Elephas maximus indicus: one gene and its partner. The protein of the gene in region 1 purifies or fractionates together with the protein of each later gene. This does not show direct contact. Links are inferred from orthologs where the notes say so. Each region holds a gene or a part of one and is shown on either strand. Other genes may lie near its edges.

Region 1 (15,909 bases):
ATACTAAACAACATTGAATTGAACACATTAAATGGGTGAATTGTATGATATTTAATTGCTTTTTTTTGTTTGTTTTAGAATGAAAGAGGGACCATCATTATAGATCCTCCAGACATTTAAAGGATAGTAGAGGAAAATTATAAACACTTCATGCCAATAAACTCAATAATGTGAATAAAATGGTCAAATTTCTTTTTTATTTTTATAATTTTTATTCTGCTTTAAGTGAAAGTTTACAAATCAAGTCAGTCTCTCACACAAAAACCTATATACGCCTTGTTACACACTCCCAATTACTCTCCCCCTAATAAGACAGCCTATTCTCTCCCTCCACTCTCTCTTTTCGTGTCCATTTCGCCAGCTTCTGACCCCCCCACCCTCTCATCTCCCCTCCAGGCAGGAGATGCCAACATAGTCTCAAGTGTCCACCTGATCCAAGAAGCTCACTCCTCACCAGCATCCCTCTCCAACCCATTGTCCAGTGCAATCCATGTCTGAAGAGTTGGCTTTGGGAATGGTTCCCGTCCTGGGCCAACAGAAGGTCTGGGGTACTTCTAGTCTCAGTCAGACCATTAAGTCTGGTCTTTTTATGAGAATTTGGGGTCTGCATCCCACTGCTCTCCTGCTCCCTCAGCGGTTCTCTGTTGTGTTCCCTGTCAGGGCAGTCATCAGTTGTGGCTAGGCACCATTTAGTTCTGCTGGTCTCAGGATGATGTAGTCTCTGGTTCATGTGTCAAATTTCTTTAAAGACACAAATTATCAAGTTCACTCAAAAAGAAATAGAAAACCTGAATAGAAGAGTGGTGTTTAACCACCAGGTCTCTGGAAGAAAATAAAAAAATCTTGATATGTGCATTTTTCATTTTCTGTGGTATAAATACTCCAACATGGTCAATTTCAAGCTACCAATATGACATCATTGAACATGGATTTGGGAATCTGCTCTCATTAGCCTGTATAAGCTGGTTCCAGCACACGTATATTAAAGAAAATTAATTTGCGATTAAAAACTTTCCAAGAAACTCCAGGCCAAGATGTGTTCCCTCGTGAATTCTATCACACATTTAAGGATGAAATAATATAAGGACGATCATCTAAGATACAACTATTGCTCTCTACTAATCTGGAGCAAAAAGAGAAAGAAGGAAACCAAAGACTCAAAGAAGAAACTAGCCTATAGGACAAACAGTCTACACAAACCAGAGCATCATTTACCCTGAGACCATAATTAGATTGTGCACTGCTCCCACTACCAACAGTTCTAATCAGGGGCACAATAGATGGACCCTGCTAGGATGGGATAAAAATGTGGAACAGAATCTCAAATTCCTTAAAAAAAAAAACAAACCTACTGAAATGGTTGAAATTGGACTTCCCGAGACCGAGGCTATTGCCCTGAAATACCATTCAAATCTTGAACCAAAACTGGCTAAAAAAGAAATGAGTATCACCTGTAAGTACTGTGATCCTTTACAAAATCACCTATATGAGACCAAATGGTCAACAATTACTTTAAAACAAAAACGATAATGTAAAGGAGCAGGGAAACTAGATTAATGGAAATGGAACAACCAGAACAGAAATAATGAGAATGTTCACGCATTGTGAAGAACGTAAACAATGTCACTGAGCAACTTGCGTAGAAATTGTTGAATGAGAATCTAAACTGCTGTGTAGACTTTCACCAAAAACACAATAAAATATTATCTTAAAAATATAAATAATAATAATATACAGATGAAATAATACCAATTTTACACAAACTTTTTCAGAAAGTAGAGGAAGAGGCCTCCTCTATATATAATGAGGTCAGAATTACGTTGATAACAAAACAAAAAACATTACAAGAAAACTCCACACCAACTGAACTCATGAACACAGATGCAAAAATTCTCAACAAAATTAGGAAATTAAATCCAGCAATATGTAATAAGTATAATAAATACACTATGACCAAGTGAGGCTTATCCCAGGAATGCAAAGTTGATCAAACATTCAAAAATGAATATAATTCAACATATTAACAGAATAAAGGAAGAAAAATATGACCATCTCAATAGATGCAGAAAAGGCATTGGACAAAAGTCAACACCCACTTATGATAAAAAAAAAAACTCTCAGCAAACTAGGAATAGAAAGGAGATTACTCAACCTGAAAAAAAAGCATCTATGATAAAACTATAGCTGATATACTTAATAGTGAGAGACTAAAGCTTTCCTCCTATCATCAGAAACAACACAAGGATGGATGCTCTCACCACTGCTACTCAACAATGTACTGGAAATCCTAGTTAGTGCAGTAAGGCAAAAAAATAAAATAAAAGTTACACAGATGGGAAAGGACGAAGTGTAACTCTTTATTTGCAGGAAAATCATGAGCCTGTATGCTCTAAGAATCTACAAAGTTATTAGAACTAATATGTGAATTTAGTATGGTCTCAGGACAGTAGTTCAATATACAAAAGTGAATTATATTTAATACACTAGAAATAAACAACTAGAAAATGAATGTTCAAAATACTATTAGCAATGATATCAAAAAGCATGAAATACTCAGGGATAAACTTTATGAAGTATCTGAATAATTGTGCACTGAAAACTACAATACATTGCAAAGAGTAATGAAGGAAAAAAGACCTAAATAAATGGGAAGTATACTATGTTCATTTATCAGAAGAGTCATATTGTCAACTCTCTCCCAGATTGATCTATGTATTCAATGTAATTTCAATTAAGATCCCAGGAAGACTTTTGGTGGAAATTGACAGGCTAAACTCTAAAATTCATAAAGAACAATCTTGAGAAAGAACACTGGAGGACTGACGATACCTGACTTTGAGACTTCCTATAACCAAAAACAACAACAAACACTGCAACCCCATATATGTCACAGAGTAGAACTGCTGCTGCATAGGGTTTTCTTGGTTATAATCTTTACGGAAGCAGACCGCCAGGCCTTTCTTCAGCAGTGCTGCCAGATGGGTTTGAACTGCCAACCTTTTGGTTAGTAGCCGAGAGCAAACCATTTTCACCACCCAGGGACCTCATACCAAACCAGTTGCCATCTAGTTGATTCCGACTCATGGCAACCCCCTATGTATTAGAATAGAACTGTGCTCCACAGAGTTTTCGATGGCTGAATTTTTGGAAGTAGATCACCAGGTCTTTCTTCCAAGGCATCTCTGGGAGGACTCAAGGTGCTAGCTTTTCAGTTAGTAGCTGAGCGCTTAACTGTTTGTGCCACCCAGGGACTCCTGAGCCTTCCTACAATGCTGCAGTAATCAAGACATTGGCAAGAGGAGATAACACACAATGTGTGTCTGCTGTTTCTGTTGGCCCATTTGCGCATAGCATTTCCAATGCCTCGTGAGCACAGAACTCCACTGGCCCGTATGATGTGTGGCAGTTCAGCAAGACTCAAAGAAGGGTCAGCATGTTACTTCTACGACTGTGCAATGGGCAAGGAATGGGCACTGAAAGCCCAGAAAAGCCACCCTTGGTTCAAATCCAAAGTTACTTCCAACACAGAATCAATTTCTAATAAACACACATGACTACGAAACCCTATAGTATACCTTCTTACATGTGTTACTTCCCTGTATTTCCCAACCACTTCTGCTGAAAATAGTGACACAGACGGAAAAGGGATAGAGTAACCCATAGTTCTGCAATTTAAACCGGATTCAACTGTGTGATATGGCATCCACAAAATCTACTATACTCTTAGGATGCAGCAATAAATCTACAGTGTCTATTCTAGACTGAAAGGGCTAATAGTGCTCTACACTAGGCAAAATATTGTATTCTCAAAGCCATTTATAAATTCAGGAACATGCAAGGTGGTGAGTAACCTGGAAAAAATGTTACCAAGTCAGAAACAGCTAAAATAACTGGGAAGGTTAAACCTCAAAAAAATAAGTCTTGGTGAGAATATAACTGTTTAAGGATTATATGAGATAGTATACTGAAAGTGCTTAGCAAAATGCCTGGCATAAGTGCTCAATTAATGTGAGTAATAAAAGAGTGATGATTAGTAGTACTATTAGTTCTGTGTCATATTGTTATTATTATAGTTAATGCTAATAGAGTGTTTTCTACGTGCTGGGCACTGTTCCAGGTCCTTTACTATATGTCGTATTGTCTCATTTACTCCTCGGACCAATCCTATGAGGCAGGTACTATTATTGTCTTCGATTTTGTAGATGAGAAAACTGAGTCACAAAAAATAGATTTCCTAATATGTCTCACAGATGGAAAGGGTCAGAACCAGGACATAAACCCTGGCAGTTTCATATTATCAAGGATAAAAGGTACTTTTGTCATTTTAAACTTGTTCTTTACCATTCTAGAGGGCAGACTGGGACCAATGTATATAATCTACTTTGAGGCAGATTTCAGCTCAACGGAAGGGGAAAAATAAACAATAACTTTGATTAGAATTGCCTGAAATTTCAATGGGATGTTTTATAAGGTAGGTAGTTTTCCATCATAGGATGTAAGGAAAAAAAAGGATGGAAATGAATAAGTGAATAAAATGGGACTCCTCTTGGGAAGAAACCATAAAAGTGAGACTCCAACCCTTGCTGAAAGAATAAAGAAGGCATAGTGAAACTTGGATTTAAAGGCACACATCGCTGTAAAATTTAAGAAAGTTATGGAAAAGATATAAAGGTGTACTAATATCGGTCTAGCTGCCATCGCAATACAAAGTAAGATGTCAAAGAAATGCAACAAACGTTATTATAATGGGAAATTTCACATAAGAATTTGTTTGGAAACTTCCTGGACAATCTGGGTTTGAAAAATATAAAACCACCCCAGGATCCTCACAGAGAGGGGAAGAGAGGTAGTTTGCTCTCTGGAGGAAAAGACATCTGCATGAGAAAGTAGTACCCAGGCTGTTGTAAGTACTAGATGAGATGCAGACATGAGATCAAAGATCATAAAACACTATTAGATTAAAAAGTATATACTTGCAATGGCAGTTGCGTATGTTAGCATGATATTAATCCTGCTACTCAGTATGTTAGATCAAGAGGCAGTTGTTTGGACAGAACAAGGGGATACTGATTGGTTTCAAGTCAGGAAAGGTACACGTCAGGGTTGTATTCTTTCACCATACCTATTTAATCTATATGCTGAACAAAAAATACAAGAAGCTGGACTATATGAAAAACTGGGCATCAGGATTGGAAGAAGACTCATTAACAACCTGCCTTATGGAGATGACACAACCTTGCTTGCTGAAAGTGAAAAGGACTTGAAGCACTTACTAATGAAGATCAAAGACCACAGCCTTCAGTATGGATTACACCTCAACATAAAGAAAACGAAAATCCTCACAACTGGACCAATGAGCAACATCATGATCAACGGAGAAAAGATTGAAGTTGTCAAGGATTTCATTTTACTTGGATCCACAATCAACACCCATGGAAGCAGCAGTCAAGAAATCAAAAGACACATTGCACTGGGCAAATCTGCTGCAAAGGACCTCTTCAAAGTGTTGAAGAGCAAAGATGTCACCCTGAAGACTAAGGTGCTCCTGACCCAAGCCATGGTATTTTCAATCACATCATATGCATGTGAAACTGGACAATGAATAAGGAAGACAGAAGAAGAGTTGACGCCTTTGAACTGTGGTGTTGGCGAAGAATATTGAATATACCATGGACTGCCAAAAGAACGAACAAATCCGTCTTGGAAGAAATGTGGCCAGAATGCTCCTTAGAGGTAAGGATGGCGAGACTGCGTCTTACATACTTTGGACATGTTGTCAGGAGGGATGAGTCCCTGGAGAAGGACATCATGCTTGGCACAGTACAGGGTCAGCGGAAAAAAGGAAGACCCTCAACGAGGTGGACTCACACAGTGGCTGCAACAATGGGCTCAAGCATAACAATGATTGTAAGGATGGTGCGGGACTGGGCAGTGTTTCGTGAATCGACTCGACAGCACCAAACAACAACAACACTCAGTGTGTAGCATCCCTGGGTGGTGCAAACGGTTTACATGCTTGGCTACTAATCCAAAGGTTGGTAGTTTGAGTTCACCCAAAGGTGGCTCAGAAGAAAGGGCTGGAGATCTACTTTTAAAATATCAACCACTGAAAACCCTATGGAATACAGCTCCACTCTGACACACACAGGGCCACCATGAGTGGGAATCAACTCGACAGCAGCTGGTACTCAGTGTGTGGTCAACAGATTCATTATACAGTTTAATACTGAATGTCTTCTGGGCTGCATTTATATTTTGGGGTCCTAGGACTGCTGAACCCAACAGATATTTGCTGATTTAATTAATTAATATAATCTTTCTCAACCAGCAGTACCAAGAGTTGGCTGGTTAAGAATTGAGAGTCCCAGCAAAATTTGCCTTCAGTTATGAACAATAAAACTACTTCATAAGTTTTTTTTTTATAATAATGCTATGCTATCCACGAAGACTTCTCCCATTTCAGATTAATAAATGGGTTTTCTGGACTAGTACTTAGATGGACAAAAGTACATCTTGACTTATGAAAATTATTCAGTCTTTATAGACTTACATACTTTACAAACTTAATTCTTTCTAGGGTCTTTTTTTATCAGAGTATATTTTTAAACATAAAAAATTTAATTTGCTTCTTTATCTAAAATAAACTGGAGCTTCTATTTGTGATATAGGTCTGGGGGCTCAAAAAACCAAAATATAGATGTCAAGGAAATGTGAAAGATTGTTCCCATGAAAGTGGCAAGAAGATGTGAAAACATTTTGATAGCGCCTACATGGATGAGGCAGGCAGCCTCAGAGACCAGCCCTTCTCTGCTCTGGCTTATTCCCCTACACCAAGCAGAATATACTTTCTTCTGAAATTGTCCTTGACAAGGTAACTACAGGAAGGGCCATAGATGGCCTCGACCCACTTCTGGGTGGAGACTTAACATCCTAATGAAGGAAAATCAACCTCTCCTTCCATTCCAGGGGATCAAACCCTTGTCTAAAGAACATGCATAGTCATCTTCAAACTCTGAGCGCCTGTGTGAAGGTGGATCCTGGATATTCATGATGAATTTGCATTTCCTTGTCTGCTCTCTATAAAAGCCCACTTCCCCAAGCTGCCTGTGAACAGTCTTGGAAGCAGCAGCCCTGATTGCTCCTTTCTTTGTCCAATGAAATAAAGGTGTCTTTCTCCTCTCCCACCTCGGCCTCTTGTTTTATTGGCTGTAACAAATCACACTAAGCAGAGCCTGGGTTTTTCACCTGGCAACACAGATAAGATGTGGTTACGGATGTGGATGAAAACTGAGAAATGGGATATGATGATTAATGAAGGTGCAGCATCTAGACTGCAGGGGAAATAATTGGGCCTTGGCGGCTGAGAAAGGGAAGGTGGGGAAGAGAGGTATTATCAGAGAAAGTAGCAGACAGGAAGAGACAACAACCCCTAGGACTAGATGCTGATTGTCTCTGGTAACCAGGAAAACGCAAACATAAAGAGAGGGGTGAGTAACAACGCTTGGTGTGTTGCGGACCAGGGGTTATTGGCTGGCTGCTGCAGCATGGGCGCCAGTCAAAGTGGAAACTGGGGATCTGAGCTCGGCGGTGACGTGCGGTCCTCGCGTGACCGGGAACCTATGTCGGCCCAAGTCCCTCTTGTCCTGGTCCTTTATGCCTATCCGGACACCAATCTCCGGATTGCCTTTTGGTCCCGGGGGAAAGCAGAAGGAAGTAAGTTCCCTCGACCCCCTTAAATCAGCGTGAGTGTCGGTGCTGCCTAGTAACCCCTAGGATCCGGATGGTAGAGATTCCCGGCCTTTTCCCTAAGCCTCAGTCCCGCCCCCTCGCGCCCACATTTCGGTGCAGAAAATGGTCTCGCGGCAGAACGGGGAAGTGAGTAAGGCCCCGTGAAGGAGACACACTTGGAAATAGTTCCTAAGTATTTCTCTGCTCCCACTTTCCGCCTGGGGTGGGGGATAAAGAGTGAGAGCGTCGAGCGGCGGGGAGAGCAGCGGCACCGAGGCCACGGCTTGATCCGGGGATTGTGTGAGGGGAGGAGTCCCAGAAGGGGGGGACGCTGGCGTGGGGGGCGGAGTCGGCCCAGAAGAGGGGCGTGTCTGCTAGGTCGTCCCGCCTCCCCGCCCCCGCCCTTACCCCGTCTCGCGTCTTGGTCCGCAGGTCACAGCGGGGCGCCTCAAAGAGAAGACGACGAGGAGCAAGCCGCCAGGAGAGGTCCAGGTGGGAAAAGGGTGGGCAGCGGACTGGGCGGGGAGTACCAGAGATGGCGCTGAACCAAACGCCGTCTGCCGGCCCCGCCGCCCCGCCCCTATCACTGCGGCTGGCCGCGGCCTGTGGCAAAGCCTGCTGGGAAAATGGTGGGATTTCGGGAAGGAAGGAAGGAAGGGGCGACCCTGAGGGAAGGGAAGAGACGCGGCGGGCTCAGGAGAGCCCGGGAGGCTCTCGGTAAGCGTAGGTTTGGGGCCTGGGCCCCGAATCCCGAAAAGGCAGCTACTGGAACCCATTGCAGGGTTGTTGGCCCATCCACCAAATATTCCGACTCTACTTTCCCTTTCTTGTCTTCTCAGAATAACTGTTTAAAGAATTAGCATTCTCAACATGGAAAAGCCATGCAAAGAAAATGAAGAAGAGCCACATAGCGCGCCAAAGACCACTGAAGAACCGCCTCCGGTGGAGCACCCTCCCGAAAAGCACTCTCCCGGGGAGGAAGAGGAGGAGGAGGAGGAGGAGGATCTGTCTTCAGAAGAGCAGTCCTCGGAGGAGGAGGAGGAGGAGGACGAGGAAGAGTTCTTTCCCGAGGAACTCCTTCCCGAGCTCCTTCCTGAGGTGCTCCTTTCGGAGGAGCGCCCCCAGGAGCGACTTTCCAGGAAGTACCTTTTTGAGGAGCGTCCTCCCATGGAGCAGCCTCCTTGTGGAGTAGGAAAACATAAACTAGAGGAAGGAAGTTTTAAGGAGAGGCTGGCTCGTTCTCGCCCACAGTTTAGAGGGGAGATACATGGCAAGAATTTAAGCAATGAGGAGATGATAAAGGTAGCAGAGGAGATGGAAGAGATGAAAAGAGTAAGAAACAAACTACTGATAATGCACTGGAAGGCAAAACGGAACCGCCCTTATCCTATTTAATGGGTTCTGCCTTGAGTTCTGTTTTGCCTGGTAGTAGTACTGCCACCTGAACTTTGCATTTCCGTATATACCTTTTGCTGTGTTCTTAACTTTTTGTGTGGCTTTATTTTCCTTTTGTGACTGGCATAAAAGTGTTTTCTTCCCCTATAATCTGCCAGTCTCCCTCAGTCATGAATTTCATCTGTTAGCATGAAGATGTATATTATGTATTGTGAAGTGAAAAAACAGCTTTCAAAAAGTATATATAGTATTCCACTTAAAAATATATGTATATTTATATAGTAATATGCAAAGAAAACAAAGTATATGCATCAGAAGCTTAACAGTGGCTGATAAAATAATAGGTGATTTTTGTTTTAATTTTTGCTTTATCTGAATTTCTCATTTTTAAAACTATTTATTTTGTTTGTTTTTTCAAGATGAACACACTTGTGTTGCAAAAAAAAATTAATATAATGAAAAAAATGTGAAGCAGTTTTCAAAAACCTGTCAGCTTATGAAGACAATATGGCACTTAATAAATACTTGTGAAAACATAACAAAAGAAAAGTAAATCCCATGTTTCTTCTGACTCTCTTAGGTAAAAATACAAACCACATACCTATTACATTTGTATAAGGGTCAGTCTTTTCCCAGTTGAATTAGGAATAAAACCTGCCTTGCAGAGCTTCTGTGGAACCACATGAGGTAAAGATCATGTGAGCTATGTTTGTCTCTTTTCCCCACCTGCATACTCCGGACCCCCAGATGCTATAAATTCCCTTCATACATGGGGTGGTGCCTGAGGGGAGCCTCACCTGTGCTCACAGACAAGTCCTGTGAGATTCCAGGTGAGTGTCACATTCTATTCCTTTCCTGTTCTTCCTTTGAGTACTGCTGTGTCTGCAAGGCATAGCAGCCTCTTCTGCTGGGTCTTGCTCCTTCCACTGGGCCCCATCACTGCTGCTGTGCTGGAGCCCTCAAGGTGCAAAGCCTCACTGATTGTACTGGAGTGTCTTGTGATAGAACTGTGTAGCCTACAGAGGCACAGAGAATGTGCCCCTTCCAGCTTTAATATTACGCTTACTCAGGTGGTTACCATTCTAGTGCTGTTTAGACATCAGTGTCCTTTTTAAAGAAGTCTTAGCAAAATTATCTTGTCCATTTTTTTCCCCCTTCTTACAGCCTCCTTTTTCTCTATCGGACTCAAACATGAGTCCAGCGGGACCTGGGCTGGGAGACAGATTTGTGTACAAGACACCATGCAGTGTACTCAAAATTTGAACCTCCCTCCCAGGTAATTTCCAAGAATAAAAAAAGCCAAACCAAACCCGTTGCTGTCGAGTCAATTCTGACTCATAGTGACCCTATAGGACAGAGTAAAACTGCCCCGTACAATTTCCAAGGAGCATCTGGTGGATTCAAACGGCCAGCCTTTTGGTTAGCAGCCTTAACTCTTAACCACTATGCCACTGGTTTTAATTGCCTAACTTGCCTTAGGGTGAGCTCTCTCCCAGGGGCTTCTAACAGGCATGCCTTATGAATTCTGCTGGCATGTTCAATGTGTATAAGTTAAAGAGGAGACTAAAACTTAGGACATTCCAGTTCCACCCCACCCCGTATTAACCGGAAACATGCCAGTGTACTTTGTAAAACATTGAAGTATTATATATGTATCAGATTATTTCCCCATTAAACTATCCGTGTAAAACCGAAGACTTTTATTGATCCTGGTCATTCTAGAAACACAGATGGTGTGTTAATATTTTTTTCAAATTATGACGCAGTCAGGCACCTTGATTTCTTGAATCATCTCTGTCCTTGATTGACTGTGTAAGCTTCGGTAAGTGTGTTTGTTCCCTAGAACATATAATTTGCAGTTCCAAAAGGAACACAGTGGGGGAGGAATTGTTTCTCCATGTTCAACATTAAAATTAACATACCAGTGTTTCTATTATAAAAACTGCAGAATTCTGAATTCTACTCTAAAAACTGCAGAATCCTAGGCTGTACCCTAGGCCTGCTAAATCTGCTTTTCTGTAAATTAGCACACCAAAGGTGGAGGGCCACTGACCTATATACTCCTGATTTTCCTAAGGATATACTATGAAATAAATAGAAGAAAAAAATAGAAGTCTGTATCAGAATTAAGAGTGAAAGTCCTGTCCAAGCATATTTTTAAGTAACAGCCTCACAAATTGTACTACATGAAATTTAAAAGATTTCCTGCAGTAAAGCAAGATTGCACAAAAAGCTAAGGGAGACAATATAATAGCAAGATGTATTTTCTATGCCTAAACATCATATATGCCTTGCATTGCTTCCTTCCAGTATGAGTAAAATTTATCAGAAAGGAACTCAAAGTTCTCCTTCTGCCATCAGCTCACAAAAAAATAAGCTCTGTACCCTTGGCTTTGTTTTCTGTTTTTATTGTTTTCACTCTGTGATACGTCTCTTCATGTTTCCAGACCATTATTCAAGGTTGTGGCAGCCCGATGAATGCTCTTGGGGCTGGAATTCCTGCTAGAGTGAGCTAAGGCTTACTGTGACCTTTTACAAAATAGGATAAATCCATCCCCCGGGTGTTCAGAGTGTCCCTATGAGTCGGAGTGGTCTCAACGGCAATGGGTTTGGTTTTTTAGTGGGTGTTCAGAAAAGCCCTGGTGGCACAGTGGTTAAGAGATTGGCTGCTAACCAAAAGGTTGGCAGTTCAGATCCACCAGCTGCTCCTTGGAAACCCTATGGTGCAGTTCACTCCATCCTATAGGGTTGCTCTGAGTCGGAATAGACTTGATGGTAGTGGGTTTTTTTTTTTTTTTTTTGGTTTGTTTTGGTGTGTGGGCCGGGGCTGGGGGCTTAAGCAGGATGTGGACAAGCTCCCTCAAGCCACATGGCTTTCCAGGGGTGGGTCTGACCTTGGTGTTTCTGCTCCAGCCTGCAGCAGGCACCAAGCCCACCTAGGCCAGGCTGCCCTGGGCAGACATACCTGGAGAAGGACTGTCCCTGCTGCAGGTAGGAGCCTTTCCCTCCTCCCTTTCTCTTTCGGGGAACTTTTTGTAGGGGAGAAGATGAAGCTCCAAAGCTTCCTAACTGGAAGCACTGGTTGTGATAGTCCTTACCAAGCAGTTGTCTGAACTGGGTCTGACCGGTAACTTGGGGTTGGAACAAAAGGGACTGCCCCTTCTCTCAGAGTCCGGTGAAGTCCCTCACTACCTCTCTGCTCAGTCTGGTATCGTTATCACATGTCCAAGCAGCAAACTTGGCTGTCCAGCTCCAGAGCAGAAAGCATTGAGGGTCTAGGGCCCTGGAGAGAGAGCCCTCTGTTAACCAGCATCCCCAGGCTCTTAGGAGACAGTGCTTAAGAGGGGGAGCCCTTCTAGAGAGGCAGTGTGGAAGGGATCAGGCTCAGGGGCCTTGTAAAACATCTAGCGACTCTCCCCTCCCCTATTCAAAAATACTAACCTAAACTAACTCAATTATTTTTACAAATGAGGAGTAAAACTAAACAGATAAAAAGAAGCAGATCCTATGTTCTAACTCAGAATTACCAGTATCAAACCCTATGTTCTCCCCCACTCTACCACGCTGCCTCTAATTTAGATGGTAGCTTTCCTGGGCTTAGGAATAATTGGTTTAGACTTGAGTATGGTATCTTGTTGATTTGTGCACTTAGGAGTTCTCACATTATTATTCTTGCTCCAGGTCGGAGTGCCAATTAGGCAGTTGGATGTAAGTGTCCAGTTAAGGAAAGAGATTGGGATGGAAAAATGGATTATGGCCGATGGCATCTGGCACATAGTAGACACCCTGTGAATATTTGTGAATTAAATGAATGAATGTAGAATCCAACTGTTTATCCTTCTATTCTTTTCTACGCTTATGTATTTTTCAAACAGAATTGGGATTCCTTTTTTTAATATTTTTTGTGCTTTAAGTGAAAGTTTACAAATGAAGTCAGTCTCTCACACAAAACTCCTGTACACCTTGCTATATACTCCTAGTTGCTCCCCCACCCAATGAGGCAGCACACTCCTTCTCTCCACCCTGTATTTCTGTGTCTACAGAATAGGGATTCTAATGAACTCACTGCCTCATAATCTGTGTATAAAAATGAACTTTGTTTTTCATTTCCTCTTTACCAAGACAATACCGGATTATGAAGCAGTGAGTTCATTAGATCTGCCTCTTGATGGCAACTGACCTTTTGGTTAGCGGCCAAGCACTTAACCACTGTGCCACTAGGGCTTGTTTTCTGAGTACAGGATGTTATTTTTTTTGTGCTTTAAGTGAAAATTTACAAATGAAGTCAGTCTCTCATACAAAAATTTATATACACCTTGCTATATACTTCTAGTTGCTCCCCTCCAATGAGAGAGCACACTCCTTCTCTCCTTCTCTCCAGTAGTTGGAACCCACCAGCCACTCTGGGGAAGAAGGATGTGGCAGTCTGCTTCCATAAAAATTACAGCCTTGGAAGCTCTATGAGGCAGTTCTACTCTGCCCTATAGGGTTGCTATGAGTCGAAATCCACTCGACGGAAAAGGGTTTGGTTTATTGGGAAAACCATTTGCAATCAAGTCAATTCACACTCATGGCGACCCTCTCTGTGTCAGAGTAGAACTATGCTCCATAGGGTTTTCGGTGGCTGATTTTTTGGAAGTAGATTGCCAGGCCTTTCTTCCAAGGTGCCTCTGGGTGAATTAAAACCTCTAACCTTTCAGTTAGCAGCCATGCACATGAACGGTCCTCGCCACTCAGGGACTCCTCCTATATTGTGAAGGAGGTGAGAAAAAGACATTGCCATATGTTGCTGGTGGCAGTAAAAAGTTTATACGATCTTTTTTTAGGACAATTTGTATATAAATATTTATCGGGGCAATGCCAGAAATCCCCCATTCGTCTGTCCGTTTGTCATACTCTGGTGGCTATGTGTTGCTCTGATGCTGAAAGCTATGCCACCAGTATTTCATATACCAGCAGGATCACCCATAGTGGACAGGTTTCAGCAGAGCTTCGAGACTAAGACTAGGCAGAAGGACCTGGTGGTCTGCTTCTGAAAAACTTAGCCAGTGAAAACCTTATGAATAGCAGTGGTACAAATTGTCTGATCAGTGACTGCAACAACAGGCTCAAAATAGCAACGATTGTGAGGATGGCACAGGACCAGGCACAGTTACGTTCTATTGTATTTAGGGTTACTAAGAGTCGGAACCAATTTGACGGCACCTGATAACAACAACAATTATAATGCTAGAAATAGTGGGAGTTTGGAAATAATCTAAATGTTCATCATTAAAGGCTGTTTAAACAAATTATGATAATCTCTATCAGTGGTTCTCAAACGGGATGGAACTGCTCCCTAGGGGGTGTTTGGAAATGTGTTGAGGTATATGATGGCTAAGGTTGTGTGTCAACTTGGCTGGGCCATGATTCTCAGTCATTTGGCAGTAGTATGATGATGTGATCACCTCCATGATGAGAATTGATACAGTGTGATCACCTCCATGATGGGATCTGCTGTGCGTAGCCAATCAGTTGAAAGGGAGTTTCTTAGGGCATGTGGCCTACATCAAACATAAGTGGCAAGGCTCATGGGCTTTTGCTCGCTCTGGATCCAATTGACTGGAAGAGATCCATATATGTGCCCATTCCAAAGTAAAGTGATCCAATGGAATGTGGAAATTATCGGACAATATTAATATCACATGCGAGTATTATGGTATTTTCAGTCACCTCATGTGCATGTTAAAGCTGGACAATGAATAAGGAAGACCAAAGAAGAATTGATGCTTTCGAATTATGATGTTGGCGAAGAATATTGAATATTGAATATACCATGGACTGCCAGAAGAATGAACAAACCTGTCTTGGAAGAAGTACAGCCAGAATGCTCCTTAGGAGGGAAGATGGCAAGACTTCGTCTCACATACTTTGGACATGTTATCAGGAGAGACCAGTCTCTGGAGAAGGCCATCATTCATGGTAAAATAGAGGAAGAACCTCAACAACATGGATTGATACAGTGGCTGCCTCCACTAAACTATCTGGTTCTCTCCAGAAGCAACAGTAGTGTCAAGTCTGTGCTACATAGGGCTGGATACTATGGCTCTCAGTGCCTGTGTTCTATTCCACAAACATCCTAAGGAACAAATCCCTTATGTGAAGTAGACTTTTACAGTACCGGCCTGTGTGAAAAAAATCAAATTCCACTTCTCTGACACCAAACTTTCTTGATTAATCCAAATGAATTTGTTATTTATGTTCCACTTCTGCCCTGACACCAGCTACACATGCAGCACCGCTTCCTGACCCGAATCACGTGGAACCAGGTCAGAGCTCACAAGGTAAAGGACACAGTCCTCCAGACTGACAAGTCAGCCCAAGGCTTCAGATGCCAGCTGCAAGCTTGGGAGTTTCCAGGGTCCCCTCACTTCTGACCTGCTGGCTATAAATTCAGGGGTTCCCCCATCTTCTCAGGACACCAGCCATAAACTCAGGGGTCCCCAGGCCCCTCAGTCCTGACCTGTTGTTGTTTCCCACTACTCCCTTAGGTTCAGTAGTTCACTAGAATGACTCATAGAACTCATGGAAAGTGCTATAATTACAGGAAACTATTATAGGGAAAAGGGTACAATGAAGAGATGCATAGGGCAAGGTCTGGGAGGGTTCCCAATGCGGAGCTTCCGTGTCTCAGAAGGGGATGAGGTATTGTCCCGTGGGAGCCTTGGTGGAGTAGTGGTTAAGAGCCGTGGCTGCTAACAAAAAGATCGGCAGTTTGAATCCACCAGCTGCTCCTTGGAACCGCTG
Region 2 (16,420 bases), on another chromosome or scaffold:
ATTTAAAACTTCCCAGCTGATATAACACTAGCCCCATTCCCAAATCTTCTCCAGTCTTATGGCTACAGAGTATCAGTCTAAATTCAATGAAATTCAGGACTCACCCTACTCTTCTCTCCAACAACAAAGCGAGCATCCCTAACTTCCCAGGCAACTTCCCCAGGAAGATGCATATCTTCCTGGGATGGCAGGCTTTTAATCTTGCAGTTATTACTAAATACTTTCCAAATCAGAATAAATGCAAGTATGCAAACACTTCCTATGTGGCGAGGCTCGGTATACCCTTCTCCTTCTGTATATATGTATTCCATCACTATAATCACCCAACTGGTCCTTCATAGAGGAATTCAGAGAATTTGCCCACCTTCCTTTCTTTTGCCATAGCCACAGAATTCAGGTCCTCTTGTATCTCCTAAATTGGCTAGTCTTTCTGCCCCAGACTCATCTCAGCCTCAAACCCAACCTAACTTTAGGCTACAAAGTTTTCTCACCTATCAGTAATGTGGTGTAAGGGGAATAAGCATGCATGTACTTCAGATTCTAAGAGATCTGAGTCTGAGTCATAGCTATGTTCAAGTTTTCTTAGAATTATTTTCCTTGCATAAAATAAAATACACAGATTACAAAACAATCAAGTTACATTGAGATAGAGGGGTCTATGGGTCCCAGGTTGACAACCCATGCTTGAGTCTAAGCTCTCTAAATCTTGTTTTGATGGCTCCAGAATGAAAGTAATAATACCTACACCTCATTGAATTCTTAGGTGGATTAAAGAAAGACAATATACATAAAATATCTGGCAGGGAGACTAAGAAGTCTGAAGACCTCCATGGTAATTCAAATCTTACTGGGGTATCACTTCTTAAATTAGGAGTGGGGGAGGAGAGGATTTTCATTATCTAATATTCAGCTAAAAAAAGTAAAGGATTAAGATCTTAAGCGGTGTCCCCAAACTTAAACAACATCACAATTCTTATCACTACTGAAAGATTAAGATTAACCCTAAATCAAAATTCAGATAGGGTCTCTCTTCCTATCCCAATTTTCGAGTGATGTGGAAAAAAGTTTAGTACCTTAAAAATAATTTAAGTTTATGACTTGGGGGTATTAGGTTGCATTGGTCAAGGATTCACATTAACTTAAAAAAAAAAAAATACCTGTTGCCATTGAGTCAGACTTATAGCGACCCTATAAGACAGAGATGAGCTGCCCCACAGTTTCCAAGGAGTGCCCGGTGGATTCGAACTGCCGACCTTTTAGTTAGCTGCCGTGGCACTTAACTACTATGCCACCAGGGTTTCCAAAGAATGACCAGTTCGTTTCCTCAAACCAGGGGCCTCTTGCGTGTTAGACGAAAGTGATAACCACTACACTGTGGAAACTTACACTAACTTATTTACGTTAACTTTAGCTTGGAAAAAAAAATTTTTTTTTTTTAATTTTTTATATAAATGATACCAACAGATCAGGAGCTTTCTTCAACATTCTTTCAGAAGTTTCCTGTCAAGACCCATATGTGTCTTTCATTTGTGCCTTAAGGTCTGAGGTTCTATATGTTAAGACATACAACCCTGTGTCTGAAAAGCCTCTTCTGCAGATATTTCTATAAAAAGACATACAGGTATGAATTCAATTTCAGGAGGACTAAATGACTTGACCAAGATCATACAACGTGATAGATGTAACAAGCTCCCATTTCAAATTGGGCTCTTTCCGCCACGCTCCCTCAGCCCACTAAGGAGATGATGCTGTTTATGCTTTCTGACTCCAAATGCCCAAAAGAGAACAATTAACTCTAATTTGCTGCCTAGAATTTCCAAATTTGCCACTCTTTTGGAAGGGCATTTTGTAAATGTATACCTCATTAGCCGATCAAATATCTTGAGCAGATGTTGGATATATCAAATTATTTCCAGCTAATTTTTTTCCCAACAGAAAATCTCCTTAGGATAAATATGAATTAATATTATATCTAGGCCCCAAAACTCCCACTTTTTGCATACACTAATCTCACATATGTACAGAATTATGAAAACCATCAGAAAGAAACAAGTAGAATGTTTCCGAGTTCAAAAGAAGGCACTTACAAAATGGCATGGATTTTGGTCAAGAAGTTTTGAGTTACCTATCTACTCTATGCTCAGCAGTAGATGCTGGATACCATTTAATACTCCACAAATAAAGAAATGAATCCCTTATGCTTCTATTTATGTCTTCATACACCTAAGTAAAATACTTGCCTAAAATCCCAGAGTCTGGCATTCAATTATAAATGGTAAACAGTTTTTAATACACTGTGCTAAGAGTTTCTTATTTTACACTGCCTGACTGGCAAGAGAATTCACCAATGTTCAAGTTCCAATTGTACACAATGATGAAAGGCTAGGCATTGGTTGATGCACCCAATTGTACAAAATGGCTCTATTTATTTGCTAAAGACATCCTTGAGGACAAAGATGTGGTAGAAGACTCAAAGAAATAAGGCAGGTTCAAAGGAAGGGAAAACACAGATATACAAGGGGGAAGGAAGGTATTCCCAGCATGCATTAATTATGTGAACAAAGCCAGTTAAGAAACAGCTTGCCCCACAGAGTCACGTAGAAACACTAAGATAAAAATAAGGTTAAAGAGGTCCATATGACCACACCTAACTAAGCTCTGTGTCCTTCCAGATGAAAAGAATGCCATTGCCCCATCAGTAAATTCTTTCTAAACTGCTTTTCCATGTAGAGGTAATAATTTTATGATTCCTTCCTTGCGTTGTTCAAATATTTGAGCATAAGCTGTAGGCCAAGCACCGTTCTAGGTGCTGGGGTACAGAGACCAGCAAAACAATGTCCTGGTGGTTCAGTGGTAGAATTCTTGCCCTCCATGCGGGAGACCAGGGTTCATTTCTGGCCAATGTACCTCAAGCGCAGTCACCACCCATCTATCAGTGGAGGCTTGCACGTTGCCGTGATGCTGAACAGGTTTCAGCAGAGCTTCCAGCTAAGACAGACTAGAAAGAAAGGCCTCGTGATCTACTTCCAAAAATCTGCCAATGGAAGTGCTATGGGTCACAACAGGTCAGGCCCTGCCACTGATCATGGGGATGGTGCAGGACTGGACAGTGTTTTGTTCCACAGGAGCCACCCTGACAGCAGCTAACAACTTCAAAAACAACCTCATTCTACCTGAATATTAAAGCCTAGTGTGTAAAAAAGTATGGAAGTATACTTTAAAGAAATTACTTAACTTACTTAAACCTAAATTTCTGGTATTAAAAAACGTAGGCTGCTATCTAGAATATCTGTGAGGATTAAATGATGTACTTGCCACATAAAAAGCACTTAATCATCGTTATCTAGTGTTACAACACCTTCACTTTAACCTCTTTGTAATTAACTACTAGACACATTGTCTTTTTATTATCTAAGGAAGTAACTTTGTTACAAAGTCTCTCTTTAGGTAAAACAGACTTAACAAGCTTTGGCCTCATTAATATCATCTTCAACTAACTGAGCAAGAGAAGGCAGTGCTGCTTCAGCAGTAGAATTCTTGCCTTCCATGAGGCAGATCCAGGTTCGATTCCTGGCCAATGCACCTCATGTACAGCCACCACCTGTCTGTCAGTGGACGCCTGCACATTGCTATGATGCTGAGCAGGTTTCAGTGGAGCGTCCAGACTAAAACAGCCTAGGACGAAAGGCCTGGCAGTCTACTTCCCAAAAACCAACCAATGAAAACCCAATGGATTACAAAGTCTGATTCCATTGTGCATGGGGCTGCCGTAAGTCGGGCCAACTCTGACTGCAGCTAACAATGACTAAGCAAGCTGGTACAAAGTTGAACTAGTATTAGAAGAACAGGAACATACTACCCAAATTTTATTTATTCATATTCAACTCAGCACCCAATCTTACCTCCCAAAAAAACTCAATGCCCAAAAACTCAGGTGTAAGCATGATTTCAGTTACTAGGGCTTCAAACAGGTTCTTTTTGGTTTGAACCCTTGCTGAGAATTTGCATTTCCACCCCACATACACTGAATCAGAATCTCCATTTTAACAAGATCCTCAGGTGATTCTCACATATAATAAATCTTGAGAACCATTGCTCTACTGGTGGTTCTCAGAGCTGGTCCCTAACCAGCAGCATTAACATAGCCTGGGAACTTGTTAGAAATGCAAATTCTCAGCAGGGGATTGAGCCAGAGCAAACCTGTTTGAAGTTCTGTTGTTACTTAGTTCTTGCATGCATCTCACCAAGCACAATTAGATTACAGTGCTTTAAATCTTATTTCCTTGTTAATACAACATGGGCCTTAAACTTAAGTCAGCTACTTCATCTCTTACTCAACTGAGGAATGCAGCAGTAAGTCATGATTAGATAAAAGAAATCAACAGACCTGCACCTTCCATGGGGGCTGAGTTGTGAAGTCTGCAGGTAAGGAAAAAATCAAATAGAGTCAAACGCTCTTGAATTGAAATCCCCATTATCTCCAAGTTAGGGAGTTGGGTGCAGCTGAAAAGACACACAACCAAACCTGGATTCAAATCCCCACCTCCACCACTCCGCAGCTAATTACACAACTCTGAACAAGACTCCTTTTTCTAAATTTATTTCCTCGTTCTGGAAATACCACCACCAACTCAAAGGTTGGGGGGGAGGGGAAGAACATGACAATTTAAAAGAATACATACAAGGGACCTCCTGCCTAACTCAACAGGTCCTCAATCATCGCCAGGGAAGGGAACCCCTAGTCTCTCTCTTCATCTGCCAAAGAACCAAAGACTGGAAAGTTCAAATCAAACCTTGTTTCCATTCAAATCAGATAAAAAGAAATGCACTAGAGAAAATTTCACTTGGCAGGTAAAATAAACCATGACAACTATGAGTGAAATCTAGTACACAAAGCCCATTTTTTGTAGAAAGGATACTAGCCTAAAGCAAATAGGTTGGTCATCCCTACACCATACCACATTCCCTCTATAAACATCAAAGCATGATTTGCTACAAGAACAAGTGGTAGGTAAAAAGGAGAAAAACCAAACCTCACAGTGTATTTCTGGAATCCTTTTATGGCACATTCCTTGGTCATGAAGAATAATGGTTAAGAGGGCGGCTTCTGGAGTCAAGCCTTACTGGGGGTTGGGCTACACTTATTCCTAAAAATGTGACCTTGGGCAAGATACTTAATCTCCCCAGTCTCAGTATTTTCATCTGTAAAATGGAGCCAATACTCTTGAAGAACTGCTATAAGGATTAAAAAAGGTCATGGCTGTGAAGTGCTCAGGATGATGGTTAAATGCTCAATTGTCACAACTCCATCTAAATATGAAGACAAGACACACTGTGTAGGCTCAACACCACACATCCCTATCTCCACAAGACCTTACTGACTAATACTGGTCTGGGTATGCACTGTCACCTAAAAGTGTTAAAACGAACAGTGTTTCAGAAATCAACACATATTCAAACTGCTAATACTAAAACTTGATTCCTTTATTTGAGCATAGTTTCCAAGAAAAAGCAAAGATGAGGACCAAGTGAAAATACTGAAAACAACACATCCATTACCCAGGGTGCAAACGTCTTCTGTTCTGACAAGCTGACTTCAAACTATCACCACTTAAGTCTCTTTGTTAGGGACTTTTATCTGGTTATTTTTGCACAAAGGAGTCTTTGTTGGTACAAATGGCTTCCTTACTGGTTGTTCCCAGGCAATCTTTTCATACCAATACTACTATTAGGGAGAACCTCCAGGATTCGTCCTTCTTTGAAAAACTGAAAAAGGTTCTGAGTGTCATTCCGATTAAAAATCACTTGCTGCACTTGTTCCCATTTCCTTCCCTCCCCGAAACACCCAAGTGCAATATTTCAAAGACATTCCTCCAACACACCATATATGGGGCAGCTCCACCCCACCTTTCCATATATGGTTATATCCCACACCCACCTACCGGCTCATCACGGGCAACCAGGAACCCACTGGAGCCCTGACCCACCGCAAACGGACACCCACCTTAATACGCCAAACAAAACTAAGCTCCTCCCTCTACACTTAACCCTTCACTTCTAACAAGTCTGAAGGTTTAAAAAGTTGATAAAATAAATTAAAAGGAACAAATAAAAAAACCTATGGAAAGCACTTTCAAGACATTAGCCCTCAATGTGATTGCAAACGTCATCCCCTGGCCCAACTTAATACTACCAACAGTGCTTCTGCTTCGGAAAAACAATCAGACAGCCCTAGCGAGGCATTGCGCGGGCAATAACAAAGCGTGTCTGAGCAGCCCCAAACCCATTATTTAACACAGCAGCAAGGAACTCTAGGCCAAACACATCTCGGCTTTACACAACCATTTCAAAGACTTTCAAGGTCTAGTATTCTGCACCCTCAGATCAATGCCAACTTTCTAGTCACCGTTTTCAAAAAAGGGTGTGTGTGGGGCAAGGAGGGCTGATTGTCGGTTACCAAGGTAACTACCAAACGTCCGACTGCCTAGGCCGGGGAGCCTGTTTACCTTCAGATCCTTCTTAGTAACGTCCATGTGGGAGACAGCTCGAATGGTCCCAGAAAGCCAGGGCCACTCGGCAACGCGCTCCACGTCCCAGCTGTCGTGGCTGCCGTCGCTGCCGTCGGCTGCAGACAGACTGAGGAATCGCTTCCCCACCAATACTGGCCAACTTTCTCCGAGCGTGAGCACCATGGTTTCCACGCCTGCAGGAAGGGCTCCTCCCTGCAAAAACAAAATGAGGTGGGGGCAGCCGGTGGGAGGGGGCCAGAAAGAGGGCGGGGTACGTGGGAGGAGGGGGTCCTAAGTCTGCTCTGGGGGGCAAGCACAGGCGGCAGCCGGGTGCGACCCCGCACCAAGCCCTCCGCCCGTGCCATCCCCCCCCCACCCCGGCTTCCTCCCCCACCGCAAACACGGCGGGGCACCGCGTGACCCGCGCTCTCTTAAGTTTCCCGTTTCTGAAACCTTCTACCTAAACGCAGAGGGAGTAAGGGGACAATTATTTGCGGCGTAAGTAAATTTTAGAGTGTTCGCCCCTCACCCAGGAAAAGAACAAGCACCCCCCCAGACCCCCAGTGTAGAGGGCCTGTCGCTGGCTCCCAGGTCCCTGCCCGGGGAGGTCCCCGCCCCGGGAGGCCCTGCGGAAAGGGGGGACCTAGTCGGCGGCTCGACACTTGCCCTGATGGCCCTCCCCGCCCCCCACCCCTGCCCCTCGCATCCCGGCTGCCGATCCCCTGACGCCGATGGCCCCGACTCTGCCGTGGCGCTGGGGCGGCGGGGCCAGCGATTCCGCCACCTTCACCTTTCTTCCTCCTCGCCCAGCTGAGGCCGCGGCACTCTTACCCCGCCTCCCGGCTCCCTGAGTCACTGGTGGCCGCCGCCGCAGCTTCCAGCCGCCAAGCGACTCTAGCTCTGACTTGGTTCAACAGCTCTCACAAGACACGCACAACCTCCCAGGCCCGCCCCCTCGGAGCCGCTTCCACCACTCATTGGCTGAGTCAAAGGAGTTGGGCGAGGTTCGTGGAGAGATAACCCATCACTATTGGTTGGCTACATGAGGGCGGGGCTAGAGAAAAAAACAATTCCCTGGCTGTCCCCGCCCTTTCCCCCTCCTCCCTCTTCCGACTCCTGAGCGACCCCCGTTAAATTAAAGTACACAGAGAGTAAGCGAGAGATCCCTCCGCCACGGGCTCATTCTTTACATTCGTTGCCTCACGATGTGCAAAAAGTCCCGTGAAATCGGTTATCAACTCTGGGTTCCGAAGGAAAAATGCCACGGCGCACAGATAAAACTGAATGGCGAAACCTAGGGCTGTATGTGCCTATTGGATTGCTCTTCAAGTGCGTAGGCTGTCGAAGGGAGATAGGCCTTCCACTTGGCGGAAGAATCTCATAGGAAAGGGGCGAGGGCGGTGCAGCGACAGAGGGGGAGGGAAAGAGGGGAACGTGCGGTTTCAGGCGTACTCAGCTAGAGGGAGGAGCGACAGTGCTCTGGGGGCTTGTGCGCAGGCGCTTCGCGTGTTGTAGGAGCAGAGCAGAAGCTGGAGCTACGGTTGCTGGGTGAAATGGCCGCGGGAGGCGCAGGCGCACGCACGTGGTGCTGATCATGGAAGTCTAAAGTCCGCCATTTTGGAAGAAAAATGAAGAAAGGCTTAGAGTCATTGGGTACTGATGTTCATTAAATCTTGAGGAAAAGAAGCCAGTCAATACAGTGTAGAATGGTTTTTTATTTTTATTTTTTATGTGGAGACAGGATGAGAAGATATTTTGAGACTTCAAAGGAATTGAAAAACCAGATGAGGGCAATAATGATGCAAGAGATATTAAAGGTGAAAAGGAGGTGACTTTGAAGGACGAAGGAGAAGAGGTCATTGTGTGCTCTGGGCTGGAAATTTCTTCCCTGAATAATGAAGAAGAAATGGAATGAAGGCATTGAAGACCTCTTTATACAGGTATTGAGCTGATAATTGACGTGGAATCACATTTAATCCTCAAGATAAGTAGGGAAGTGTTCATGTTCCAAGTTTTAGAAGTGTGGAAACAGAATCAGAAAAAGTTCAGAAACTTATTCCAGAGATTTATGGTTACAAGTTAACTACAGGTGTTGATTTGAAATATAAATGTTTTGAAAATATAACATTAAATAAGTTCCTAAAGTTAAGAATACACATTAGAAGAATTAAATTGAATTTATAATTTGCAAACCATTAGACAGGGAGAACATGGAACAGAGAAAATCTATCCAATCCAACACAGCAAAAGGCAGAAACCAAAGCAAGGAAAGAAAAAGAAGCTGGAAGGAAGTATGGTAAATAGAAAAAAGTAAAATGAGAGAAGTCCAAACATCAGTATTTACAATAAATATAAATGGGTTAATTTTCCTCATAAATTTAAAAGACATATTTCAGATTAAAAACAAAAGACACCTATAAATCAAGCACAAGCAACACTCCTACAACACCACAGGAAGCTTGAAAAAATTGGAATAAAAGTTTTACTAATCACATGTAACCCTGGTGGCATAGTGGTTAAGAGTTCAGCTGCTAACCAGAAGGTGGGCAGTTGGAGTCCACCAGGCACTCCCTGGAAACACTATGGGGCAGTTCTACACCGTCCTATAGGGTGGCCATGAGTCAGAATCAATTCACCGGCAATGGGTTTAATCAAATGGTAATCAAAGAAAAGTAATATAGTAATATTACTACAATTGAAAGAAAAAACTTTTAAAAAGATGGAAGGGTTTTATATTAATAAAAGTTGAAGTCCACAAAGATAATATAAACTCCTGTACTAGTATGATGGAACATAGCTTAACCTAAGACTAAACTGTCAGAACTATGAGAAAAAAATTTGACAAATTTGTAATCAGGGTGTAGAAGATTTAAATCCATCTGTCCAAGAAACAGGTACCACTTAGATTTAAAAAATAAGTGAGTATGGAGGACTTAGGTTACATAATTAATTATTAATTTGAAAAGCAACTGCTAAGGGACGAGTTCTACTACATGTCAAGGAACATACAATTCTTATGCTATTCATGGTTCCATAATTTAGAAGAGATGGATAGATACCCGATGCATTTTATAAAACTAGAAAAACTATTTTACCACATCTGAACCAGCAGAATACAAGAAAGGAAAGCTATAGTTTAATTATACTTATGAACATAGATGGAAAATCTTGTATAAAATGTATCAACAAATTAAATCCAGCAGTATATTTCAAAATAATCGTTATGATTAATTGGGGTTATCCTATAAATACAAGGATAGTTCAAGATTAGAAAGTTACTATAATTCACTACTTAACATTTTAAGAGAAAAATTATATGTTCATTTCAGTACAGGCTAAGAGAGCATGCACTCACATTCAGCACCTATTCATTATTTTAAAAGTACTTCTAAACTCCCTAGAAAACTAGAAATATTAAGAGCACATGCTTACATTCAAAACCCATTCATAGTTTTTAAAATATTTGTAAACTTCCTAGAAACCAAGGAACATATCTGTCCTAGAAAATGCTAGGAAAGAGTCTCTCCTGGGTGGTGCAAATAATTAATGCACTCAGCTGCTAAAAGGAAGGTTGGAGATTCAAGTCCACCCAGAGGTCGTTCAGAAGAGAGGTCTGGTGATCTACTTCTGAAAAATAAGCCATTAAAATCCTATGGAGCGCGGTTCTATTCTAACACACAGAGTGCTGTGAGTTGGAATCAGCTCTATGAAAACTTGTTTTTCCTCCTAAAAAACATTCACACATATGAACTAGGAGAATCTAGAAGGTTGTTCATTTCAGCATTGTTTGTGGTTGTGAAAATTTGGAACTCTAAGTACTTCAACTGGGGAACAAATAAATAAAGTGAATAAAAGGAATCTGATACCTGTAATGGAATGCTATAGAGCACTTAAAAAGGAATGAGAGATATATAGATGTACCAGTAAAGACAGATCACCAAACATATTTTGAATGAAAAAGAGAGTTGCATTTGGTACTGTAAGTAGTTCCTGACTTACAATGGGGTTCTGTTCCGACAATTTCATTGTTAAGTCAGTTCTGATGTAAGGTGAATGCCTCATTATTTTATTTTTTTAGTTTTCATTATTATTGCCTTTTATTATCAGTATCTTTATAAATCTAATCTTTATTTGTCTTTGGGGGTTGGCATGAGAATGATAACATAAGCAAATTACACACTACAACATTCTATGTAGTACATATTACTAACGATAAGATGTACAAAACTAATGGTTGTAAGTGCAATTCGTCATAACTCAAATACATCACAGGTTGAGGACTACCTGTATTTAAGCACACACACACACCCCAGTACCATATATTTTATATAGTAAGTATATGACATTTATTTATTTAATATATAAAAAAATTTTTTTTTTTTCTACTTACATATAACAGAGCCCTGGTTGCACAGTGGTTAAGAGCTTGGCTGCTAATCAAAATGTCAATGGTTTCAATCCACCAGCCACTCCTTGGAAACCCTATGAGGCAGTTCTGCCCTGTCCTATAGGGTCGCTTTGAGTTGGAATTGACTCAACAGTCACGGGTTTTTAATTATAAATAATACAAATTTACTTTATATATTATATATATATAAATAATGTATGTTTTAAAACTCATAATGGTGGTTAGTGGTATTAAGGAGTGTACACTAGAATTGGGGGTATTAGTCAAAAGTGATTTAGCTTTATTTGTAATTCTCTTATTTTTATAAGATGGATGAATTCTTGTGTTATTTTTGAAATTTAGAGTTAATTTTAAAATCCTATTAGTGTGCTCTAGTTCTATAACAGATCAAGGGCAGTGATGGTTCAGTGATAAAATTCTCACCTTCCATGTGGGAGACCCAGGTTTGATTCCTGGCCAGTACACCTCAAGCACAGCCACTACTCATCTGTCAGTGGAGGCTTGTGTGTTGCTGTGATGCTGAACAGGTTTCAGCAGAACTTCTAGTTATACAGTCTAGGAAGGAAGGACTGGAGATCTATCTATTTCTGAAAAGCAGCCAGTGAAAACCTTATGGATCACAATGGTCTCTTCCTGTTGTGCATGGGGTTGCCATGAGTGAGGACCCCATGAGCTGCCATAAGTTGCTGACTCGATGGCAGCCAACAGTAACACAAACAGATTAAGGAGAAAATACACATGATTATCTCAATAGAGTCAGAGAAAGCATTTTATAAATCTTCATTCCCATTCATTATAAAAACGCTTAGCAAACTATGAATAGAAGAAAACTTCCATAACTTGGGAAACAAGATGTACCGGAAATATACTTAAACATCATACTTAATTGTAAAATTTTAGAAGAATTTCCACAAATGTTAGGAATAAGATAAGGATGTCCACTATTATTATTATCACTATTATTCAAATTGTAATGAAGTTTGCTAATACAATAGAATATGAAAAATAATAAAATATAAACATTGGAAAGAAAACACACACACACACAATTTGTAGATAATTCAGGAACATTAACCAAAAAAATTGTTAGAACTAACACAATGGGCAAAAAGGTTCCACAATATAAGATCAACAAAACTCAAAAGAATTCCTATTCTTTAGCAAACATCAATTAGAATGTATAATAGAAAAAAAGGAAATCATTTATGATAATAAAAACTAGACTGCCTAATAATAAATACAAGAAATGACAAAAACCTGTATATTAAAAAAAGATAAACCTTTACTGACTTGCATAAAAGATTTGAAAAAATGCCATCTCCATATATAGAAGAACTTGATAAAGATGTTAACTCTTTTCAAGTTAAGCTGTAATTTCAATGAATGAAATATTGTCAGAAATATGGAAATAGTTAATACATAAACCCACACATATATGAAAAGTTACCGTATGATTAACACAGCATTTCCAGTGGCTATAATACATGCTTTCACTAACCATATTTCCTAGTTTCTGTAATATGATGTTTTAAAAAGTCACTAAACTGATAGACTCCTACAGATTAAAAAAAAAAAAAAACCCTGGGGAAGGGAAAACCTGATTCCCATAGTTACCAGATTTTAATAGTCAAGTGTCTCGTTTTCAACCAAAAATTCACAACACATGCAAAGAAATAGGAAAGAATAGGCTATTCAAAGGGCCAAAATAAAGTGTCAGAAACTATCTCTAATGAAGCACAGACACTGAACTTATTAGACAAAGACTTTAAAACAACTACCTGAAATATGTTCAAAGAGCTAAAGGCAAACATAGACAAAGAACTGAAGAAAATCAGGAAAATGATGTATAAGCCAACTGAGACTGTAAATAAAGAGATTGAAATTATAAAAAAAGAACTAAATAGAAATTCTAGAGCTGAAAAGGACAATAACTGAAATGAAAACTTTACTAGAAAGGTTCAACAGCAGATTTGAGTAGGCAGAAGAAAACAAAAATCAGTGAGTAGGAAGTTTTAAATTATCCAGTCTGAAAAGCAGAAAGAAAAAAAAAAAGTGAGCAGATCCTAAATGATATGGGGAATACCATCAAGCATAACAATGTAAGCATTATGTGAGTTACAGAAGGAGAGGTGAGAGATACAAGAAGTAGAAAAAATATTTGAAGAAATAATGGCGAAGACTACCCGCATTTGATGAAAGACATGAATCTGCATATCCAATAATTTGAATGAATTCCAAAAAGGATAAACTTAAAGAGATCCATGCTAAGACATATTAATATCAAATTGTTGAAGGCCAGAGATGAAGAGAATCTTGAAAGCATCAGGAGAGAAGCCAGTTGTCACAAAGAAGTGATCCTCAATAAGAGTAACAGTCAATTTCTCATCAAAAACCATGGAGGCCAGAAGGCAGTGGGATGATGTATTTAAAGTGCTGAAAGGGAAAAACTGTCAGCCAAGAATTCTGTATCTGGTAAAGTGATATTTAAAAATGAGGGAGAGATTAAGACATTTCCAGATAAACAAAAGCTGAAGGGGTTTGTTACCACTATATAGGCACCACAAGAAATCCTAAAGGGAGTCCTTTGGATTGAAGTGATGAACACTAGATGGTAAATTGAAGCCATATGAAGAAATGAAGATCTTCGGTAAAGGTAACTACATGGAAAAATATAAAACCAATATTATTGTATTTTTGGTTTGTAACTTCACTTCTTATGCCTTACATGATTTAAAAGACAGTACAAAAAATAATTATTAACCTATGTTGTTGGGGACAGAAGATATAAAGGTGTAATTTAGAACAACAACAGCGTAAAGGAGAAGATAGTTCTATTTAGGAGCAGAATATTTTATGTTATTTAAATGGCTATTGATTCAAACTAGAATGGTATAAATTTAGGGTGTTAAATGTAATCCCCATGGTAACTACAAAGAAAAAAAGATAAAATACATACACACAAAAGGAAACAAGAAGCAGGTCATGAAAAGATGCTCAACATCATCAGTCATTAAAAAAAAAACAGTGCCGTTGAGTCAGTTCCAACTCATATAAAAAAAAAAAAAAACTCATATAGGGCAATGCAAATAAAAAACCACTAAGATGCCTATGATTTAAAAAATGGAGACCAACAAGTGTTGGCGATGATGTGGAGAAAATGTAATTCTTATCCATTGCTGGTGAGACTGTAAAATGGTGAGATTGTAAAATGTAGAAAACAGTTTTACGGTTCCTCAAAAAGTTAAACATAGAATTACCATGTGATCCAGCAATTCCAACTCCTAGATATATACCCAGAAGAACTGGAAACAAATACAACTAGATACTTGTACACCAGTGTTCATTGCAGCACTACTTCCAACAGGGAAGAGATGGAAAGAATCTAAATGTCTGCTATGGATTGAATTGTGTCCCCCCAAAATGTGTCAACTTAGCTGGGCAACGATTCCCAATATTGTGCAATTGTCCACCATCTGATGTGATTTTCCTGTGTGTGTTGTAAATCCTACCCTTACGATGTTAATGAGGCGGGATTGGAGGCAGTTATGTTAATGAGGCAGGACACAGTCTACAAGATTAGGTTGTATCTTGAGTCAATCTCTTTGATATATAAAAGAGAGGAGCAAGCAGAGAGATGGGGACTTCATTACCACCAAACAAGAAGAGCCAGGAGCATGCATCCTTTGGACCTGGGGTCCCTGTGCTGAGAAACTCCTAGACCAGGGGAAGATTGATGACAAAGACCTTTCTCCAGAGCTGACAGAGAGAAAAAGTCTCCTGGAGCTGGCACCCTGAATTCAGATTTCTAGCCTCCTAGACTGTGAGAGAATAAATTTTTCTATGTTAAAGCCATCCACTTGTGGTATTTCTGTTATAGTAGCACTAGATAACTAAGTTAAGTGGATATTGATTCCATCAACAGATGAATGGATAATTAAAATGTGGTGCTTACATACAATGGAATATTGCTAAGCCATAAAGATAAATGAAGACCTGATGCATGTGGGATGAACCTTGAAAATGTTATGCTGAATGAAATAAGTCAGTCAAAAAAGGCAAATATTATGTGATCTCACTTATATGAAATATCTAGAATAGGCAAGTGTATAGAGATCAAAATTAGCATGGGTTGGCAGGACGGAAGGAAAAGGGGAGACTCATTGCTTAGGGGAGTTCCTGTTTAAAAAAAAATATTAAGGGTGATGAAAAATGGAAACAAATAGTGATGATGGTTTGTGATAATTAAGGCTGTGTGCCCACTTGGCAGGGGTATGATTCTCAGTGGTTTGGCAATTATGATGTAATTAGGCAGCTATGTAATGGTATAATCACTTCCATAATGAGATCTGATATAATGTAGTCACCTCCATAATGAGATCATCTATGAGCACTCAATCAGTCAAAAGGGATTTTCCTTGGGGGTGCGGCCTTAATCTAATATATGTGGACTTTCTGGCAAAGCTCGCTGGGTTCTGCTTGCTCTGGATCCTCATCTGACCTCCAGTTCTTGGAACCTGAGCTAACAACTTACCTGCTGATCTTGGAATTCATTGACCTCTGCAGCCTGTGAGCCAGAGGCCTGCTGTCTCACCTGCTGATCTTGGATTCACCAGCCCTGCAGCTACGTGAGTCAGGAGAAGCCTCCAGCCTGACCCACGGACTTGGGACTTTCCAGCCCCTATAACCATGTGAGCCATTTCCTTGCTATAAATCACTCTCTCTCTCTCTCAGTGGTTTTGCTTCTCTAGAAAACCCAGCCTAAGATGTGGTTGAACAACATAATGACTAACTAATGTGACTGAATTGTACCTGTGAAGAATGTTGAAATTGCAAATGCTTTGTTACGTATGTACTTATCACAATAAAAAAAAAGGGAAATGACAAGGAGATCAAAATAATTTACTATAAAAAACCAACTAAACACAAAAGAAGGAGTAATAGAGGAAATGAGGAACAAAAAAAGGTATAATACACTCAGAAAATAAATGGCATAAGTAAGTCCTTATCAGTAATTACTCTAAAAATAAGTAGATTAAACTCTAATCAAAAGGCAGAGATTGACAAAATGGATTTTAAAATGATCCAACTATATGCCATCAACAAGAAATTCACTTCAGATACAAAGACATAAACAGGTTGAAAGTGAAAATATGAAAAAATATATTCCATGCAAATAGTAACCAAAAGAGAGATGACTATACTAATATCATACAAAATACTGTTTAAGTCAAAAATTGGTACAACAGACAAAGAAGGACATTATATATCGGTAAAAGGATCAACCTATGAAGAATATATAACAATTACAAATGTATATCCGCCTAACAGCAGACCCCCAAACATTGACATAATTGCAAGAATAAATAGCCTATTTCACAGTAATACTTGGAGACTTCAATACCACACTTTCAGTAATGGATAGAACATCTAGACAGAAGATCAAAACGAAATAGAGGACTTGAGCAACACTATAAACAAACTGAGCCTAACCAACATGTACAAA

The links.
Region 2: the proteins of TCEAL1 (region 1) and KDM3A purify together in Homo sapiens (affinity purification with mass spectrometry; 3 studies listed by BioGRID and IntAct, counting the BioPlex papers as one, with this or other methods). This does not show direct contact. The link is inferred for Elephas maximus indicus from reciprocal best matches to the Homo sapiens genes TCEAL1 and KDM3A.

Annotation. Positions count from the first base shown.
Region 1 is NC_064846.1:54,546,211-54,562,119, reverse strand, and holds TCEAL1 (transcription elongation factor A protein-like 1), read left to right. Parts: upstream 1-8,598; coding exon 8,599-9,123; 3' UTR 9,124-10,835; downstream 10,836-15,909.
Region 2 is NC_064835.1:48,085,305-48,101,724, forward strand, and holds the start of KDM3A (lysine-specific demethylase 3A), read right to left. Parts: upstream 7,443-16,420; 5' UTR 7,341-7,442; exon of another isoform or gene 6,723-7,340; 5' UTR 6,693-6,722; coding exon 6,507-6,692; intron 1-6,506. UniProt on the Homo sapiens protein: Histone demethylase that specifically demethylates 'Lys-9' of histone H3, thereby playing a central role in histone code.